Linked DNA regions of Saccharomyces cerevisiae S288C. The gene in region 3 interacts genetically with the main gene of each other region. Each region holds a gene or a part of one and is shown on either strand. Other genes may lie near its edges.

Region 1 (7,821 bases), on a different chromosome or scaffold from region 3:
CAGTAGTTATAGAATCGCAAAATTCGGACTACGAATTTGCGTTTGATAACTTGAGGAATAGATCAAAATCCCCCCCAGGTTTTGGAAGACTGGATTTTCCCTCCACTCAGGAAGGGAACGAGGACAAAAAGAAATCCCAGGAAATCATCAGAAGAAAGACAAAATATAGGTTTTTAATGGCAAGCAATAACAAGATCCCACCGTACGAGAGAGAATATGTATTCAAAAGAGAACAATTAAATCAAATTGTTGACGATGGATGTTTCTTCTGGAGTGATAAATTATTGCAGATATATGCTAGATGTTAAACGCCAGCGATCATCATTCTTTATTCATTACTTCAAATACATTTTTTTTGGTATGGTTGAAAGGGCTTTTTTCCTCGTTGGCATATGGGAAAAACTGAAAAATAAAAAAAGGCAATGAGATGAACAACAATGGAAAACAAAAAAGGGCGAATAAATAAGCAGCAGTTGGTAAAGCAGAAAGGGGAAGTTAACGGACGTTAAACAAATGACACCTAACTTACCAGGGTTTTATTATGATAGAGAACGTCGACGTTATTTTCGCATATCTGAAAATCAAAGCATTTCTACCACGGGAACGACGAACCAGTACAGAAAAGATAATATAAAGCGACAATGTGTTGAGGAAAATTACGATAAAAAATTTTCTATGATTAAAAAAAAACGTCAGCAAACATTACAAAAGTACAAGCTTAGTCTTCTGAATCCGTTGGAAAGGGCTTTTCGCCCTTTATCATATGAAAAGTACATGATTGGTTTAAATATGCAGTATGCATCGCATTCTCTCACTGAAGGTCATCACTCACATAGTTCTGCTAACGTAAAATCACTCAATTTTCCACACAGGATACAGATAGGAGTATTAGCAAATTGTATTTTATTGGTAACTCAAGAAGGATGTTTTCATAGTAAATTAGTATTTGCAACAAACAAGGGCTATGTCGCAGGATTTTCATCCCTGGATAATTTTTCTGAAGAAAATTTCTTTACGGGGTTTTCCATGGCTGAATTAAATCCTATGTTGAAATATAAGTCCGAGCCAACTGATGTGTTCAAAACAATGAAACTTGAGAGAACAGTTGCCATCAAGGAAGGGCCGAGCCATTATTTTTATCACAACGTTAATACCAGATCTAACGTGCATACTTTTGCCATCTTTTTACAAGACTTTTCTTCCTTAAAACTGCTCAAAATTCGTCAGGTCAAACTCAAAGAAAATTGCCAAGTCCATGATTCTCTTGTTGTTGGAGACACGTTGATTATTACCGTAAATTATCGTTGTCATTTTTATGATTTGATTCCAGAAACCTTTCCAAATCCCTATATCTTTTCTCCTGCCAAAAGCTCAAGAAAACACAAAAGTAGGAGTGACATTACTTCCCTATCATTTTGTCTACAAGAAGATGCTTTATCACCTTTAAAAAAAACGAACACCGGTGTGTTTTATTTAGGTTACAGAAATGGTGATTCAATGGCAATAGTCTTCACTAATATTACAAACATGACATTACAGTACTCCAAGACCAACGGTATGACATCAGAAAGTCGAAATCAACCTATCAGAAATTCCCTAAAATCTGTTGTTTCCATAAAAGCATTGAATAATAAAGGCCTAATACTTATATCTGGAATGGCAGACAAAGAGAATGTGCAACAACTGGTTATAGCAGATACGTTCCTGGAGGACATTCTGACCGAAATCCCGGTTGTATCTTTTAAAACTAAGTTCTTAAACGTGACTAAGGATACAGAAATACTCGAGATATCGGATGACGGGCGCTACTTCATTTATGGTTCAACTAGCGCTAGGGACGGAAAGGGTGATTTTGAAGTATTTTGTACCACTTTATCTGGAAATCTTGACTACGAAAAATCCGAAGGTGGAAATATCACCCTCTATCCAATAGGAGGTATGAAGAACTACTGTAGGTTAGAAAACTTCCAGTTTGAATCTATCCACCTACATTCGGCTTTCATACCCCCAAGGTACGTAAATCCGTTTGATGCTGTGGAACCTCTAGGTGAAGAGAGCAGTACTTCACCTTACGATATACCTGAAGAAGCACTTTCTCAAAAAATATGCATCTTAATTCGGAGAGAAGATGATCCCTACAATGGGGCCAATATCTTCATAACATCTGCTTTGACCTAGTTTAGCCCACCGAGATTTTTGCTTTATAAATATTTTAGCATACTTTGCATTCATATACATATTCATATGTATAAATATTCTTTAAATTTTAACGCCGACTTCGAACTAATTAGCAGTCAAAACCCAAATGTAATGACCTTATGGTGTTATAGCATAATTCTTCTTGGTGTACAATTCCATTCTGAATAGTTCAACGATTTTAGATATAGTTAGATATGATATTATAATAAAATATACAAATATGTATCATTGTTAGTACAAGTTAAACCTAAATATAATAAAGCCAACCAAGACAGGAACCAGTAGAAAAATTTATACAAATGACAAAGAAAAACAAACGGTATTTTCCTATTTATTAAAAATGCTTGAGCGAATGGATATTTTAACACATTAGTGTCCTAAAGGACAATTGGATTTGAAAATAAAATGACAGTAATAGACAAAAAGAAAACTGAATGAATGAATGGACGTATGGATTGCTTAATGAATGAATGAATTAAATAATAGTTGGGCGTAAGTTCAGAAGATGAGGAATTTAAAACAAAAATAATCGTTGACAAAAAACGATTCAAAAAAAAATTAGATCATTTTGGTAGGGAGCAATGCTAACCCTGCAAAGGCAGTGGGAGGATTTTGGATACGTGTTCGGAAACAGAATACAAAATATAAAGATGGCAATAGTTTGCTTTACCATTTTTTTCCGGCTCAAATTTTGGGACTTTAGTAGGACGTCATTGCTTAGTTGAATTTTTTATTTTTTATTTTTTATTTTTCTTTTGTCTTTGATTTCTGCGTAAAATATTTGTACAGTAAGAAGGAAAGAAAAAGAAAGAAAAAAAAGTATTATGGCAAAGTGAATTGAAGTTCATCAGATGTTCTAGCGGTATTCATGGCAGGCATATTGGAAATACTAGCGTTGCGGCTCATATTAACTTGATTATATGGGCCTTGACCAATATGCTGCGACTTCATTGACAAACTTGAATCCCAGTTTGCACCTTCCGTTTGATATTGCATACGAGGCACAAAAGATTCATTGAAGTTTTGACTATTTGCATTAGAGTATGGCGAGAAGTGATTAGCATTAATTTTGTCGGTTTCATTCATCATAAATCCAGGCTGCTTAAATCCCCTTGAAACATTAGGATTCACATTGGTAATGTTAGATGATGAGAACGAATGGATTGGTGCAGCAGAATTAGGATGTGCCATTAAATTTGCAAACTGGCGGTTGTCGAAGTTTTGTAACGAGTTATGGCTTACCAATGGTGGGTTAGTTTGAGAATTGAAAGAAGGTGCTCCCATCGAGGGATATGCGTTTTGGTTGAAGTTCATAATTTGTTGCGGAGAGTGAATTTTCTGATCTTGTGCATATTGGTTTGAGAAATTATTGGTTACAGAGCTGTTACTTCTTCTATGGTAAGCATTAGCTGGTAAAGAAAAATGACGGGTATGACTCTTTTGATTATTATTGTTATTATTATTGTGAGCATGGTTATGATTATGATTATGATTATGATTATGACTATTTTTGTTATGGGGGTTCTTATTTTCGTTGTTAATCGTTTGAAGATTGTTATGACTCATTGCAGTGACTTGAGGAGATATGTCAGTGAATGGTATACCTGTGGCTTCTGCATAAGCTTTAACTTTCAACTTAATTTTCTTTGCATAGGATGTAGTTTTAATACTTGGAAGTAATTCTTTTGTAAGGACAATCAAGTTACCAATTTTCAATGAAAAATCGTTACAAAAGTTACCGTAATTCAATGTACTAGAGCTGTTTTGCCCAATTGCGTTACTATTTTTGTTGTAAGCAAGCAGAGGAGAATAATTCTTAACGTCTAATAGCGTTTGTAACGCATAATTACCAAAATTATCCCTGATTAGCACATTTAAATTGACTGTGAATATATCAATGGTAGTCAAAAGAATGTTCATAGAAGCATTAATCACGTCATCAGAAGCAACTGCAGTCCTTTGGGAGGCACCCCCATTGTTATTAACAATAAATCCAGTAATGATTCTAAATAATTTTTTAATGAATTTTTCCACAACATTTGAGGAGAACTTCAAACAAGATAGTTGACATAATTCATTGGATAAACGGTTAAATAACTCAGCCAATAAGTAAAAGTCCAATTCTTTGATATCTAACAGAAATTGGATGATATAATTACCGAACTGATCGTTGATTAATCCAGGAAGGAACTGCACAATTTTCACAGAAATTTTGAAAATTTGTTGTAGAGTACAAACGCTTAGTAATTTTTGTAGTACGCAACAACCATGTTTATGGGTAGAAATGGTAATGATATTATTTTGTTCTACAATAGCATCTATGATGAAACCAAATTTTGATGGCGAGAATTTGAAAATACACTTTTGAATCACATGGTTACCATTAAGATCGTTTATCAAAGTAACCACTTGCTCAATCGAAGTAAATTCTTGGGAAAATCCCTTAATAATGAGATCGATTTGAACTTCGTTATCGACAGTGTCTATAATTTTCTGTAAGGAACGAGTTCCGTACTGATTGATTGATATTTGGAAAACATTTGGATATATTGTTTGTATTAATAATGTCTTTTGCTCGGCAGTTAAATAATCGCATAGTTTTTGAACCAAATAGTTACCGAACGGATCCAAAATAAGGTCCAAGAAAAATGGCTTAATTTGTTCATACATCAAGTCTCTCACCATATTGGATTCACTGGGGGTTTCTAATTTTTTTTGAAGAAAACGGCAGCCAAACTGGTCAGTGGCAAGTTTGATATAATCCAGATCTCTAAGGGGTAGTGCGCTGATTTCGACCATAGATGAAGACGTTGAGCTACTCAAACCAAATGACGAATTATCCACTCCACATTTGGAAGCAGCATTATTACTATTGCTAAAATTTCTGAGAGATGCAGCAGGAGTCACTGAAGAGGATGGTGTTTCCATAATTAAACTGGAGGTATTGACACCAGAGTTCGAAGGAGCAACAACCGTGAAATCGTGGCTTGATTTTCTCCTGGGACCATCCATTTCCAGATCAAACTCATTGATTAATGGTAGAATGGCTGGAGGATTTGCCATTGAGGCTGAAAGCCCAGTGGAGTTGCTAGCAGCATTAGGATTCGGGGAAAAAGAGTTAGCAGAATTCGATGTTGATGTATTATTCATCAAAGCCAAGGGAGATTGTGTCGATGATATGAACTGATTAAAACCAGAGAGATCAAGCGAATGAGCCTTTTGATGGTTTCTTTTGTTATTCATCTGGCCCAAAGGCGGAGGGGTCACGGGCTCCAAGAGTGATTGGACGGAGTTAATAGATAGTTGAGGCTGATGATTGTAAGACATTAAGGAGTTATTTGATGTAGACGTAGTTAAAATCGATGCTGAGTCGGCAGATGGAAATGGTTCGTTATTGATCTGATTGAATAAAAGAATGTTGTGTTAGTAAAGTGAAACCACAAAAATAAGGCGTGTGCAGAGCCGATTTTGGAGTATAAGCCTAGGATCAATTTCGATAACTGAGAAAGAGAACAATCACAACCATGTACAGTGTCCAGGTGGCCTGAGATGCGTGAGAATCAAGAGTAAATCTATCTATAAAGTTCGACTTCAATGGCGACAGAGGATGGCAAAAAAAGAGGACAGGAAAAGAGGAAGACAAAACACAAAATTTATGCTTGATTTTAGAATGAAACCTATAACCATAAAGAGTAAAATCCTTATAACTCTCAACGAATCTGCATAAATTTTTCATAGATCTTCGAATCTTTTCTTTTTTTTTTTTTTTTTGCTCATTTTTGCCTGAGGCGCCTCTTTCCCGAAGCCCTTCTTTCGAGAAAATCCTTATAGGCATATTCGAGAAATAAGGTAGGGTCAAGTATCAGAAATTCCATACGACATAAACGGAGATTGTTAGACCGCTAAAAAAGGCGTGTCGATAGGCTGATCCCACTGAAGCTGGTTTTTGGTTATTATGCTATTTGTTGTTAGAAGATCCCGTTAAAGCTTATGCTCCATTGGCGAAGAAAAATATTGGGAATTAAGAGATAATACATACCATAAGAGAAACTGGAAAAATCGTAATTGATTTATAAATTTGCGTAGAATTCGCTTTACTATGTGTTGGAGAGGAGTTGAGGAGGTTTTTTTTTTTTTTTTTTTGGTTTTTTAGCTTTTATCTTAAGGAATAGTAAAAGTGGCGGTTGTAGTAGCAGGCTTTTGCTGATCCGTAGTCCAAATCTAGTAATTTCAAGGCGCTTGACTTCTTGATGTTATTACCTTTCTTTTATTACTTAACTTGCCAATCAATGATGTGTCAATGATCTTCTCGGGGCTAGCAGATCTGTTCTTTTTTACCTGTTCTCTTTTTGTGTGAAAAGATAAAGTAAATTATGAAATAGGCTGATCTTGATGTTGACTCAACAGTACCCAAGGTTTTGAAATGTGAATTGTGTTCAGTATATTCAATGTTTCAGATATATATTGAAAGGAAACCACCTATTATGCTTTTTAGGCCTCTATGTAAGAAAATCTATACGTTTAACACAGATGCGAACCAGGAAAGAAGAAGAGTTCTTGTAGGCCACGTTTAAGAATGGCAAGAGAGAAAAAAAGAATGATCACAAGAAAACTGATTTCAGAATTGTAATATCGGACGGCAATACTAGTGTAATCTGAACCACAAGGTTAGTCTTAGCTGGGTAAAACACCTGGCGAAAGAAGAAAAAAAATAAGGAATCTGGATGATTATAAACTTTTTTAAATTACCCTTCTTTTATACATGAAAAGGGCATACAGCATACATAAACGGTAAAGAAAAAGAGGCAATCGTCAGTATTAATTGGCTCTAAGCTAGTCCAGGAAATAACCGCGTATAAATCCAAACCGTACTTCAGAACATTCAGATCTTTCTAGCTACTTGAAAGCGCGTACCATTTCCCCAACCTTAATATGTATATTTTATCACTCACTATGCAGTACTAGGCCGCTTCTTTCTATTGCTTTTCAGATTGCCAGATGCAATATATCCCGCTTCGGAATTATTAAAAATTTAGGGGTTGGCCAGATGTTTAGAACCTCGCTTTCCAGTTAATTGCTTTAGGAAAAGAAAGGCCAATATTGTTGTCATTTTTGTATTTTTTGCGCGGTACTGACCTTTTACTGCGGCGTTTCGCGTTTTTTTGGCATTTCGCGTTTCAGTGCGGCCCCCCCTCCCCAAAAAAATGGCGTATATTTTTAGTTAGTTTCTTCATCGTTCGATGCCTAAGCCGAGAATTTCAGAAGGCTTCTAAGGGCCAGAGTAAAGAGATCCATTGAGCCCCCACCCAGTTGGCAGCGGATGCCGAAGGGCGGAAGGAAGGGGCGTGTATAGGCTTCTTTACGAGAGCAAAAGACATTACAACGTACAAGGGACATTCCGTTCCCTTGTACGTCATGTTAATGAGCAAGAAACCGCTCACCGGCAATGGTTGGTGGTAGTGGTAGTATGGACTCTTTGGGTGATGAAAAGTAATCAGAACATTCTGCAATTTCTTTACATTTCCAATACTTGCTCCATTTAATCCTTTCCTTAGGTGGCGATAGCCCACGCGAAAGACGACCTAGGGTCAGGAGATTATCAATGCACTTGAGGCTTTAACT
Region 2 (5,596 bases), on a different chromosome or scaffold from region 3:
GGCTGTCCTCATATTTTGTAGAATTAGTGAAAGCCGAACCAACGGTAGCCCCAGCCTTAACTTTTTACTTGGAGAATGAAATTAAAAGCTTAGAATCATCCAACCATGAATTTTTATTGTCTGCAGTGACTAGAATGTACACACAAATAAAACAAGTGTGGTCTGATAATGTAGAAGAGCAGGTTTTGCACTTCGAAAGAATTTCTAACGCAACCACCAATGGAGAAATTCTTCCAGGTATACTTGATTTACCAGTAGGCTTGAAGAATTCAGAAGATTTGTTCCAATTTGCTAAGAGGTCTATGGATATTAAAGATACCGATGAAGGCTACGAGTCCATCGAATTAATGAATTCGAGCTTCAGGAAGCTAAGCATAGCTGCCACACGATCGATAACTCACAAAGAAGTTAATTCAAGCATTAATCCAAACCTTTCAGATACTGCTGCTTTAAATAATGACTATATGGAAACTATTTCTCTCCTAGTGAACAGTAACTGGCTAACTGAAATGCTTTCCATGTTAAACTTCAATAAGGATGGTATATTTGATACGTCATTGCAAAACGTTAAGAAAGTTTTCGATGTGGAAAAAGAATCTTATGCTTCCTTTCTACTCCGCGATACTATGCCTAAACTAACAGCCTTTGTTTATGGTGTGAGCAACATCATTGAAAATACCAACAATGTGAACATGACCAATCCTTCAAGATGGGCCGCATATAGCAGGCAGAACCTAGAGAACATTCTTTTAGCATACACTTCCCATGAAATTGAAACTCTAGTAAAAAGGCTGCACACTCATATGGTAAATGACTTCGGTTACCACCAAGAAAATGCCATAAACAACGTCCTATGCGATAAGTTGTGGTCGTGCATTCAAGGTCAAACCGTCTCACTATACTTGAAACTATACACTGTAATTGATAAACACTATAGAGGGACAAACATACGCTTCACGAAGAACGATATCATAAGTGCGTTCGAGGAATACAAGAATGCCTAAGTAACCTCTGCATTGTCGCTTCATATTACATATTTAGACTAATTAAGTAAATATTTTGATAAATTTCAATTTCAAATATCGTGTAAAATGATATATTAGTTTTCGAATTTTTTTTTCTGAATATAAAAGGAACAGAATATTAGTTAGCTTCATTGTCCAATTACTATTGTTACTTACGTTTAATGCATTTTCTTTTCTTTCACTTCCTTCCTTAATACTCCATCCTTATGCACGGGAAATACGCATATCAGTGAGGATTCGTCCGAGATTGTGTTTTTGCTGGTTGAAATTTAATTATAAACCAGACCGTCTCCTCATGGTCAATTCGGTGTTCGCTTTTGAATACTTCAAGACTATGTAGGGAATTTTTGGAATACCTTTTTTCATTACCGATATTCATTCTTTCAAAGGGACTGTTTATTTTTCTTTGGAAGTAATATCAAAAAATAGGTTAGGGATACCGGACTGAAACATTCAATTGAGGGCCCAACCATATTTTTCTTTTCTTTTTCACCGAATTCTCTAATGTGAGTTCACGTTATAGAAGCTGGAATTGTAAGTAATACAGAAATGGCAACTAAAATGGTAGGCATGAGTGTTCTCCTTCTTGTGTGTCTTTCTTTTCACCCGATACAGTAAACTTTGTATAGGAGAGTTGACCAATTACCTGACAGTGCCGTCTATAAACGAGACCTCAACTTCACCTCAAAAACCATAATTTTATCTATTGATAATTATCATTATGGTCATTTTCCACTAAATTCATAGTTACCTTACTCTTATGCTTTGTATTTGTAGGTGTAAAAATGACGAAAAATTTAATTATCTGAAAAATTATTGTGTGAAAAAACTTGATTTTGCTATAACCTTATGTAAAACCATATAAAAGACAAAGACGGTAAACTAAAACAGCAGAGAGGAAATGTTTAAGAAGTATGTCTAACATGAGAATGAATATTGCGTAATTCACTGGTTTTACCAGGGGTTAGTGTACACTTTTGACTCAGTAAGCAATTACTAACATCATCATCGATAGATTCACAAGAGAAGATGTCCATTCACGTTCAAAGGTCAAATCTTCAATTCAAAGAACGTTAAAGGCCAAATTGGTCAAGCAGTACCCCAAAATAGAAGATGTTATTGATGAATTAATTCCTAAGAAGAGTCAAATCGAGTTGATTAAATGTGAAGATAAGATCCAATTGTATTCCGTCGATGGTGAAGTTCTTTTTTTTCAAAAATTCGATGAACTGATTCCAAGCCTGAAATTAGTACACAAATTTCCAGAGGCTTATCCCACTGTTCAGGTTGATAGAGGTGCTATTAAATTCGTTCTCTCAGGTGCTAATATCATGTGCCCTGGCCTAACTTCTGCGGGTGCCGACTTACCACCTGCTCCTGGTTACGAGAAAGGTACGATTGTAGTCATCAATGCCGAAAATAAAGAGAATGCATTGGCTATTGGTGAATTGATGATGGGTACTGAAGAAATTAAATCAGTGAACAAAGGTCATTCCATAGAATTGATTCACCATTTGGGCGACCCCTTATGGAACTTCAGCGTTGAGTAACAAACGGAGCCGTCAACACTATATTACTATCCATCTGCTACATAATAAAATAAAGAAACTAAGAAAAAATTAGAATAACATCCGCTTACAATCTAAAAGGCTGTTTCCTGATTTTTAAATATGCAACTAGCCAAGATTAACTATATACTGTGATTACGATGGGCTGTTAACCTTCTGAATGCTCTTGTTATTTACTGGAGACGAAACATGAATAATATCTCCGTTCACAACATTAAAATCTGAAATGGGGCGAAAATTATACTTTATTTCGTTTATCATCCCTTCAGAATTTTCATGAAATAACTTAACATTCAGTATGTCAAAGTTTAGCTTTCGACATATTACACTCTTAACGTACCTTACTGTAAAACTGGGAAGGACCCAATAATCTAAATCACTACTCGGCTTCTTGCCAGCTCTTATCTTTATTTTTAAGACAAGAGATTGCCGTGTTTCTCTTTCATTGTTGAAACTTAGCTTACTCATATCGATTTCATACGACTTTATGAGGCTTGACCAACGCGGCAGATTGGTGTCATAGCTCAATTCGTTATTCATTACCTTGGAAACAAAAAACATCTCAGCCTCTCTTCTTGTTTTTACATCACATATTGATCCATTCAATACCATCACACGATCAAACCTAGCCAGTACTTCATAAAAAGTAGCCTGTTCTTCGACGTTAATATAATTTCCGTTGTAGTTGAATTCGTTGCCACTCAGATGGATATTTTTCAAAGAGGGAAATGTCTTATTCAAATCATCTATCAAACTTCTTTCCTTAAATTTGTTATCTGTTATATCCAAGGATTCAACAGAATAAATAGCAATACTTGGTGCTCTAGAAATTTGATTATTGGAGACATTTAAACCTTTCAATGTCAAATTTTTTGGAAACAATGGAAACGATATAAGATTATTTCCGCTAATATTCAGTTCCTCCAAAGTACACGGTATTTCATTCTCAAAATTTTGGATTCCCGCACTGGTCAAGTTGTTATAGCTTAAATCCAACATTTTCAGTGTCCTGAAGCTTTTGAGCAGCTTACCAATATGTTTATAACTTAAACCACAGGAAGACAGACGTAAAGTTTTGATGTGTGATAGGTCATATTCTTTCAAGTTGTCCCAACCGCTTAAAAGTTTATTTTGAGATATATTAAGGCTCTCCAAGTTCTTCAAAGGTTCTATGAACTCACATAAAGAGTTGATATTCGTGAATAGATTAAGCGATAAATCAAGGTCCTTGACGTTCACACAATTTTGTATTACACGGTTTAACTCATCTTGATTTTGAAACAATATAGCGACATCGGAATCTCGCAAAGCTATTTTTCTTAACTTCTTATAATTCTTATTTCTCGCATTTAGTTCATCGAATCCCAAACCCTCAACCCTTTTGTTACCTATAGATAGGTCATTAATGTTATTACTCGAGCCTCCATACTTTTCTGACAATGCTTCGTAAAACGTAATTCTGCGTACACCTGGAGATTTAATCTTAGACTCCTTCAAAAATGATCCTGAATTAGGAATTTGAACGTCAAAATAGTGTATGTCATCTATTGTTCCAGAATGTTTTCCCCGGCTGTGATCGTCCCATTCCACCCCATAAGCTTTTACCGAAGGCCACGGCTTAATAACACCTATGAATTTGATGGTGCAAAAATATCCACCAATCTTGAGTCTGTCCCCAATTTCATAAGTCATGCTATCTCTGAAATTCGTTTTGCATTTTATATTTTGTATATCTTATATATGAAACATAATAAAAGTTGGAACTTTTTAATGATTTCTTTGTCCAAAGAGCAAAAAGGCAGTAAAACTAAAAAAAATAAGATGTATAGTAATGAGTTTAAAAGCACACCTATAATTTACAGTAATGTTATTTGATGATAAAGAAAAAATAAGAAACACCCCTTACATAAAAATAGCCTTACATATGACTTATTTATTCCATCATTGTATCTTGATCTTTGCTAGCATCTATGGCCTTGTCAAGAGAGCTAAATAATCCATCCAAATCAAATTCTTTGGACCACTCGGATACAATGGTGGATTCATTTGCTGCAATTGGAGCTTGTTTAGTGCCAGTGTTTATAGTACTTAGATTTTGTTTATCTTGTTGAGATGCAGCTGCCGATGTATTTGGTAAAACCCAACCAAGAATTTTACCATCCCTCCAGTCATTAAGTACCGAAAGACCAGCACTGGCAAGATTTGGAATACCGCCTTTCCCTAATCTACCTCTTTTACGAGCGACGTGAATTAAGAAATGTTTTGTAAACGTATCTGCATCATTAGCAGGAATAGGAGGAATTTCATACAGCTTTTTAAAGCTCTCTGTCATTTCATCTGATTTAGCTAGTCTCTTTACCAACATTAAGACAGCTGGATACGGATCAACAATGTGTTTTGCCGGTAGAGCATTTAGAAGAGCTAATTCAGCTTCATGTTCAACTTTCGATCTTTTCTTATTTTCGCTTGGGAAACATATACCAGGAGAATCTAGAATCTTCAACTTGTTGTCGATTTTGATCTCTCTCAGAGAGGTAGTAACACCTGCTTCATTACCGACTGGGCAAGCCTTTGATTGACCTCCACGGCGCGCCAAAAGAGCGTTGATAACAGATGATTTACCAACATTTGGATAACCGATAACACCCACTACAATAGATCTCTTCAAATTGCTGTTATTAGAGTAAGTTTTCAGCGACTCTAGCAGTGCACTTGCAGTAGTGGTTTGGCTTAGCTTTCTGTTGAAAGAAGTTCCGTTGACTGCACCAGAAGAAGCTCTTAATGGGATTGTAGGAAAACTAGACTTTAAGTAATTTAACCATTGTTCCAATACATGTGGGGGAATTAAATCAACTTTGTTCAGTATTAAAATCAGCCTTTTACCCTGACTTTGTAAGACGGCTTCTTCCACCTTTCTTGATCTTGTACTCTCTGGATCTCTGGCATCCAAAACATATAGGATGACATCAGAAGCATCAATAACGGATTTGAAAATCTTGTCAT
Region 3 (7,780 bases):
GAAAGATTAAATTGGAGATAAATACAATACAAAGAGCGTGGTAAATTTCTTAGTTGATTGCGCTTATCTTTTGGCACCGATAGTGGTTTTTACAATGGTAAGACTAGTAACGTCACATCGAAGTCATCGCATCCATTTACAATTTTTCTGAAAATTTCCATCTCCAGTTACCCGCTCATAAATCTTCAAGAAAAGTCAATGATTTCCTTTTCTACCTCTAGCAGCTCCTTTAATCTTTGATTTAGATCGAAAGTCCTGAAAAAGCTACATGTAATATTAATACTTTGTGAAACGTAAACTAATTATATGTTCTATATACGTTATTCTACGGTTCGCATTTTCTTTTTATGGCGCGTCTGTGCATTCCCAATCGGTAGGCTCATAAGCATCAGGATGATCAAGAAATTTCATCTGTTCGTCTGACAGTTCAAAGTTGTAGGCTGCAAGGTTACCTTCTAACCTCTTCACAGTTTTAGTCTTCGGTAGTGGTAAATAACCGTGTTGTAAAGACCAACGAATCAAAACTTGACCTGGATTACGGTCCACCTCTTTGCAAACTTTTAATAAATCTGGATTAGTCATTTTGTAGCCGTGACACAATGGGGCAAAGGCTTCGACGACGAGACCTTTAGATTTACAGTAATCTGCTAATTCTTGTCTCATAATCCAAGGTGATATCTCGATTTGGTTGACCACTGGCTTGTGCTTCAGTTCTGGCCAGTTCAAAAGTTCATCAATGTGCTTTTTCCCATAGTTGGAAACCCCTATAGACTTAACCAATCCTTCATCAACCGCTTCTTGCATGGCGCGCCAAGTTTCCAACCTTAATTTAGAACCTTCCAGTGGCGAATGAATCAAAAGAAGATCGATGTATTGCAAGCCCGAGACTTCATTCAAACATTGCCGAATGGCAGCTTTAGCTCTTTTATATCCGTTTTGCGAATTCCATAATTTAGTAGTGTAGAAGATTTCCTCACGTTTATGGTTCCCTGGATCTTCGTTCAACCATTTAATGATACCATCGCCAACTTCCTTCTCATTACCATAAAGAACAGCAGTATCGAAATGACGGTAGCCGCACTTGACACCTTCATACACAATTTCGGCTGTTTGCGATCTTGGAATATCGTAGGTTCCCAAAGCAATGCTTGGGATTTTGAAGCCGTTTGAAAGTTTGTAAAACTTAGGAACCATGTTGTTGAGGTGAATTTTTTTTCTTCCTTCGGGCTAGGTATGCTAAGTTAATTACTAAAGTAAGATCAGTTGCTTATGCTCTTATATATTGGAGGTTGCGACAAGGGATGAAAGAAAGAGACACCTCCCCTCATATCGACACGACGGAATATGTATGATAACTACTTCATTGTTCTTTTCAGCACATTATTACTATTTACGAAAAAAGGGAGTAGGGAAAAATGGCGCGCTTATGGAGCCTCAAATAAGGACAAAAAAGTCAAGTAATGAATATCAAATTGAAATGAGTATGCTTACATAGATTTATTTGGTTTGTTTTCATTTTGTTTTTGTTTCTTATGTTGCTGCTTTATTTTGTGTAGGTAATAAGGAAGAATAGGGCGATTAATAATTGATCTTCTAGCCTATTTCTATTTTTTCTTTATTTCATTTTGTAGTCCCATTGTTCATCATCTACTTTAATGGCTTTGGCTTTGGTGTGTCATTCTTCTTGAATATACCCAAATTTTCTAAATGCTCCCTTACATATTCATAAACGGTAAAGGTGACAGCCTGACCTGGAGCCACCCTCATCACTCTTGGGGTAATACCCTTGTACAAAGCTCTAAAACCTTCTTCTTTCAGTAGTTGAGCACCAATGGTTATGATTTTCTTCATACCGGACTGTTTTTCCAATGAGATGGACTTATCCTTTTGCAGCCTTGTCTTTATAGTATCCAATGGAGCGTTGGAAAACGGCCCAATAGCACCCGAAATCAAACCTATGCAAGAAGTTTCCCATGAAGGTAGGACATCCATCTGATGGTAATTCTGCAAAAACTCCTTCAGTTTAGAATAAACTGTGAAGTTAGCACCCTGATTAGTTGCTTGCCTTGCCGCAGTTAAGGAAACGCCTCTATATAAGGCAGAAACACCTTCTTCTTTGACAATAGTGTAGGCTGCATGAATGGCGTTGTTATATTTAGGACCAGCATTTGGCTCACTCGGAGTTAAATGCTGAGCTTGTAACCTAATCTTTACAACTTCCATCGGGTTCACGACAAGAACAGCTTCGGTGATACCAGCCCCAACACCAGCAACAAAAGTATTACCGGTAGACACAATTCCTGATTCCTTGTTAACCAATAAGGTTCTATAGAATTCATAAGACGAGAAACGGATTGCCATCTTAGGTATAATACCGATGACCACAGCACCTAGACCTTTATACAGAGCCAAGAAACCTTCTTTTTGATAAATGGTACGCCCAGTTTTAATAAATCCTGGGGGTTTAACATGTTCAATACCAGCTACCCGTCTGTATATTTGCATTCTCACCTTAATTGTATCTAAAGGATGACAACACAATGCTTCAAATAAACCTGCTGTGCCGCCAGCCATGAGATTGATGGCTGGATGGGAAGCCTTCTTTTTTTGAGACATTTTTCTTTCTTCTTCTTTGTTATGTTATCTTACGGCTAAAACTAATATAAACTTCTTTCTTGAATCAAGTATTCTTAGTTTTAGTAATAGGGAAGATGCCAAGTTTCTTTCAATGACTCAATTGATAATATCTTCCAAAATGCTTTGCACTTTACTTATGAAGCAGATAGAAAACAAAGGGGGAAACGCCAAGAACAAGAAGAACTACAACAAGAAAGTTAACAAAACGAGAACAAGTAGTAAGTGAACTATATATTTATACATAAGATATATGCAAAATGTGACATTACGGTTTGTAAAAGGTAGTAACTCCGTGGCGACAAGAATCTCAAAGGATTGGTTAAAAGATAGCACCTCGAGCAGTAGTACTACCGTATATCATCATTGCCTCCATCATCACACTTTATTATGACAATGAGGACTAATCATTAACACCGACCCATCAAATTTGGGCCCTTCGTCACAATTAAGGTCCGTTTGCGGTTTACCGGGACTAGGCTGGTACTGTCATACGATGTGGTATCTGGTAGACATGGGCGGTTAATAATTCATGGCTCATTCGCCAACGTCCATTTCTCCGGGCGGGCGCTACTAAAAAAATAATGCTCCATTCAACCGAGATGATTCTCTAGTCTCCCCTCGGGTTCATCGAAAAACGCCCCTCTTTTCCATTAAACCGAGGGTGCTGTCAAAATTTCTTACTAAATCACGTGACAAGAGGCGGACTGGAAATCAATCGCCTTTTGCTCTTACCTGCAAGTGAGTTTAAATATCCGCAATAATTATGCTAAAGTTTCTTTTTTACAGTTCGTTGATGTACTGATATGGTTTTATGTAAATTAACAAATACAAAACATAGTCGTTATGGAATAGATATACCTAGTGAAAGCCAAGAGAAAATGAATGAAAGAAGTTTAAGCTTCAACCATTTCTCTTAATCTTCTGATGGTAGATCTAACAGTAGCGGCAGCTGCAGTAGAAACAGTATAAGCACCACCGGCAACGGTCTTCTTACAACAGGAACAAGTCCAAATACCAGCTGCACCTCTCTTAACAGTCTTCTTACCACAGAAGGAACAGTCATATCTGGCATGTTGTTGAATTTCAAGCTTCTTAACTTGTCTTCTCAATGATGAACCATAACGGACACCGTATTTACCTGTGATACCGACCTTCTTTGTTCTCTTAGCCCTGCAAAAAAAAAAAATAAGATGGAAATATTTGTTAGTAAACTAAAAACTTGCCTTATAACTGATTCGATGTAGTCATATTGAGTTGTGGTGGACCTACAGTGAGATTGCCCCAAAAATGCGCTACCATCTATCCTGGCTTATCATTCTCCTCAACTGCGATATTTCGTGGTTTATCAACCCCAGCACTTTCTATTTAATTCAAATCTACCACGCATCTCCACTAACTCCAATATAAGAACATTTAGTCATCCAATTCCTCTATTATATGCATACATTTTTTTGTTTGATTATCTATGCTGTTTATAATATCGTATATAGTTAATGAATAACCCTACAACACGAAGGGCAGTAATATATTCTGATTCTCAGTTGAAATTTCAAATTTTTCAAGCTGGTCTTACTCGGCAGGTAGGAACTTCCCAGTGGGTCTGAGTTTTCTCTCCGGAAGGTATTTATCATTATGCACGACAAGTGCGATTCAATCGAAAGATTATAAATTTCGCGATGAACAACATCTGATAAAAAAAAAATTAAAAAACAATAATCTAAATGATATGTATGGGTTAAAAAGGATGTATGGATGGAGGGTTGGCATAAAAATGAAAGGCAGAAGATGGGCGGCTAAAAAGGTATAGAGATCGTACGTCACCGTCACAAAAATCACTCATAGAATGCACTATCATCCTTACAATACCATACCAGCCGCAAGAAAAAAAGAAAAAAAAATCAATTCATATCATATATTATCTATATCATGCTGTTCTTTCCGCCACGGCCCGTATGGTGTTGGAGTAATTTGATTAATGTATTCCCTCACGGAGGTTCAGTAGATATTCTCAATAAAAGAAGGGTGGGGGTGTATTTGCTGCAAGAATGCGGATGTCAAAAGAACCTCAAGAAGTCCACTAAATGGCAGTAAATGCCGCGCTTACATTTTTAGCGACTGCCGAAAACGTACGGCTAACTGCTGTACCTCAAAAGCATAAAATTGTGATGTTGATTAAAACAAGTAGGCGTTGCATATATAGACGTGGGTAGGAAAAAAGTGAGCGCCAACACTATATAAGAAACCGTTTCTGGATACACCCTCGTGAAGAAATAGGGTCCTGCATTGATATTTTCAAACTTATATAATTAATAATAATTAATAGCGCTTAGTTTAAAGAATTTGAACTATTTTTTGGCCAACTTGGAGAAAGAATGTGTACTTGATTATTGGCATTCCGCGTATTTACGCGGGGATAAAGAGAAAACAAAGGAGAAAAGGAATTTCCTCAATTCCGATGACTAGTACCTCCGAGCAAGCAATCATCGGCGAACAGATGTAAAAAGAGAGTTTTAAACACTGAGTTTTATTTATCAAGAACGTACCCGTACAGCTATCGTTTCAGGCAGATAACAAAAATGTGATTGAAATTAAAGTAGTTTTGTTTGGAATCATGATAATTAAATATTTCATTAATTTGAAGTTACTAAGTAATGAAGCTAGCCCGAGAAACGCAAATGCTCAGAGAGCCCGGCAGTAATTGTGTACACAGAACTATACAAGCCGCTGGATAAAGCTTATTCGTTGATGTCATCCGCTATTACCTCTCCTAATCATGGCTGCAGGAAATCTTTTCTCTCAACATCTTGTACCACTTTAAAATGCGGTAGCAAAGGACAAACGGTAAAACGTTACACTGCCACGGTGTTATAGCAGCCGCAAAGTGAGTAAGCATGTGATGGTACCTTCAATACTGCGTTGGAGAAAAAAAGTGCGTATCTTTGTTTACTTTTCGTCTTCGAGGGGAAGGATCAAAGGCGCATGCGTGCCCGCAGGAGGGGGCGCCAGGATTGGGGGTAGATACAACATCAAGGAAGCGTCATGGTGGCTTCTTGGGTCTTAAATACGCAGGGAATTAAAGTTTCATTTATGTGCCTTTACATGCACTCAAAAACCTTCTTAGTTACAGGAAAAGGTAAAGATACGATAAGAAAAGCCTTTGAACTGCCCATCCTGCATCCTAACACAGATCTAACTCACTATTCGGGTAAGGAAGTGTCATGCATGTCTGCAAAGGGACTAGAAGAAAGTTACATGATTACATAAGCAAAAAATCGGAATTACAGACACACCATTTTTTATCCTGCGGCCCCATTTCCGTCTTCGAGGGAAAGGATCAAAGGCGCTTAGCCCAATCTTGATGATTCACCGGGGAAGAAAGGAATTACAGAACCCCCAGCCACGTAACACAGCCAATTAGTTTTCTATATCGGGAAACGTGATTGATTGCGCAATTTTGGCTGCATCAGAATACATCGATGAGATCTAGAGCACCCTTTGATGGTTTAAGTCCGGTTTAAAGTTAGTAGATCAATGATTTCGTAGTGCATTTTAAAGGGAGCGCTTATCCATGGGTGATTGCGTTTACAACGTTTTGTGTGTACTCATAATAGCCAATCTAAAATTAAACAACAACAACAACGCACAATTAATATGTATCAGCCCCAATACCTTTTTCTCTTACTGTAATTTACTACTAAATTGGGGTCGGACGTTTTTGATCTTGTTCCTTGCCTGTTGTTTACCTTGTATATTACTTTTCCTCTTTTATGTATTTAAGGTAAATTAATTATCTTTTGATCTTAATATTTTTCTCAAAATGCTTCCCTTGTAGTTCGGTATTTTTGCTTCTTCAGATATTTAAACTACCGTATACCATAACTGTTTCGTGAAGTAGATACAAACATCGACTATCCTATTACGATTTATTTTACATTATCATATTATAAATCGACCAGTAGTATTGTTAAAGATTAAAAGCATAATATACTACTGTCATTAGTCACCTACAGAGAAACAAATTCCTACTGGCACCCATTACTGGTGAAAAAGGAAAAAAATAATAAAAGAAAAGCTTTTCTATTCCTCTCCCCACAAACAAAATGCAAGCGGATATGCATGGAAAACTTCACGCTGCCTTAGAAGATGGTTTCTTCCTCTTTCCTTTTGAACAGCAACAACAACCTAACATTTATTATGACACAACCACCGATCAAGAAGACCGTCCTTGTTTTTCTTTTGGATCTACAATTTCCCCTAGAAGTTGGCATTTTGAAAAGTCTGACAAAATTGCCTCATCTCAGCTGCAGAACTTGGTTCATACACAACCAATTCATTTAATTAATCCTCAAATATTGTTCAATGAAGAGTTTCTGAATTTGGAAAATATTGATTCTCAGCCTATTTCCAAGGAAACGAAAACTACGAAGGACTGCACAATGGCAACTGGTCCTGAAAGAGGAAAAAAGAGCTCTGAAAGTACCAGATCCTCTTCATTATCATCTCTTTTTTCTAATGATGAATCCGCATCTACGTTCCACTCATCATTCAATAACCATGATAACTTTCAAAAGAGCAACAGAAATGGAGATGATATCGATATTAGTGACACAATAAAATATGAAACTAATACAAATGCACAAAAAGATATCAAAATATTCCAAGAAAATTTTGAATTCAATGAATTCCCATACACACAAGACTTCTACCCATATACCACTAATTATACCTATTCAAAACCCACAAATATTCATGAATCAATAAATTCAAAAAACACGGATTCATACTCCCAATATCAAGATCAGTTTCCACCACATACTGATAACATACATTCCTTTAATAATCGTCACTATAGCAACCATAAAAGCACTAATTGTAATTACTATAATAATACCAGCAATAATAACAACGCCTCCGATAATGTATATGAGGCAGATCCATTTATAGATGAACCTCAGGTGCCCTCCTACTATTACCCATTAGAAATTGCCTTCGACGTTGAAAAATCACCACCGCCATCACTACAAAAATTAAATTCAAAAGAGTTAGAATTCCTAAAAAAGTTGAACTCCAAACTGTCAAGATATGCTGCGGCTTACTCCTTCAGCAGTTCTAATGATCAAGATTATTATGACAAGGTCAGGTT

Evidence for each region. Genes that interact genetically often act in the same process or in processes that back each other up.
Region 1: of RPL43B (region 3) and MPT5, a mutation in one rescues a mutant of the other (synthetic rescue), as found in Saccharomyces cerevisiae (one study listed by BioGRID).
Region 2: mutations in RPL43B (region 3) and TMA20 together harm fitness more than expected from each alone (negative genetic interaction), as found in Saccharomyces cerevisiae (2 studies listed by BioGRID).

What each region holds. Positions count from the first base shown.
Region 1 is NC_001139.9:165,772-173,592, reverse strand, and holds MPT5 (Mpt5p), read right to left. Parts: upstream 6,242-7,821; coding exon 6,239-6,241; intron 5,599-6,238; coding exon 3,022-5,598; downstream 1-3,021. Other genes in the region: ssDNA endodeoxyribonuclease SAE2, read left to right, coding at 1-308; YGL176C (uncharacterized protein), read left to right, coding at 514-2,178. UniProt on the Saccharomyces cerevisiae protein: RNA-binding protein involved in post-transcriptional regulation. Negatively regulates expression of HO by binding to the 3'-UTR of HO mRNA. Predominantly binds to mRNAs encoding chromatin modifiers and spindle pole body components.
Region 2 is NC_001137.3:163,216-168,811, reverse strand, and holds TMA20 (translation machinery-associated protein 20), read left to right. Parts: upstream 1-1,926; coding exon 1,927-1,937; intron 1,938-2,040; coding exon 2,041-2,575; downstream 2,576-5,596. Other genes in the region: GTP-Rho binding exocyst subunit SEC3, read left to right, coding at 1-1,004; PAC2 (Pac2p), read right to left, coding at 2,729-4,285; RNA-binding GTPase NUG1, read right to left, coding at 4,527-5,596. UniProt on the Saccharomyces cerevisiae protein: Involved in translation.
Region 3 is NC_001142.9:604,609-612,388, reverse strand, and holds RPL43B (60S ribosomal protein eL43 RPL43B), read right to left. Parts: upstream 4,085-7,780; coding exon 4,083-4,084; intron 3,808-4,082; coding exon 3,531-3,807; downstream 1-3,530. Other genes in the region: YJR096W (aldo-keto reductase superfamily protein), read right to left, coding at 346-1,194; SFC1 (Sfc1p), read right to left, coding at 1,648-2,616; transcription factor IME1, read left to right, coding at 6,738-7,780.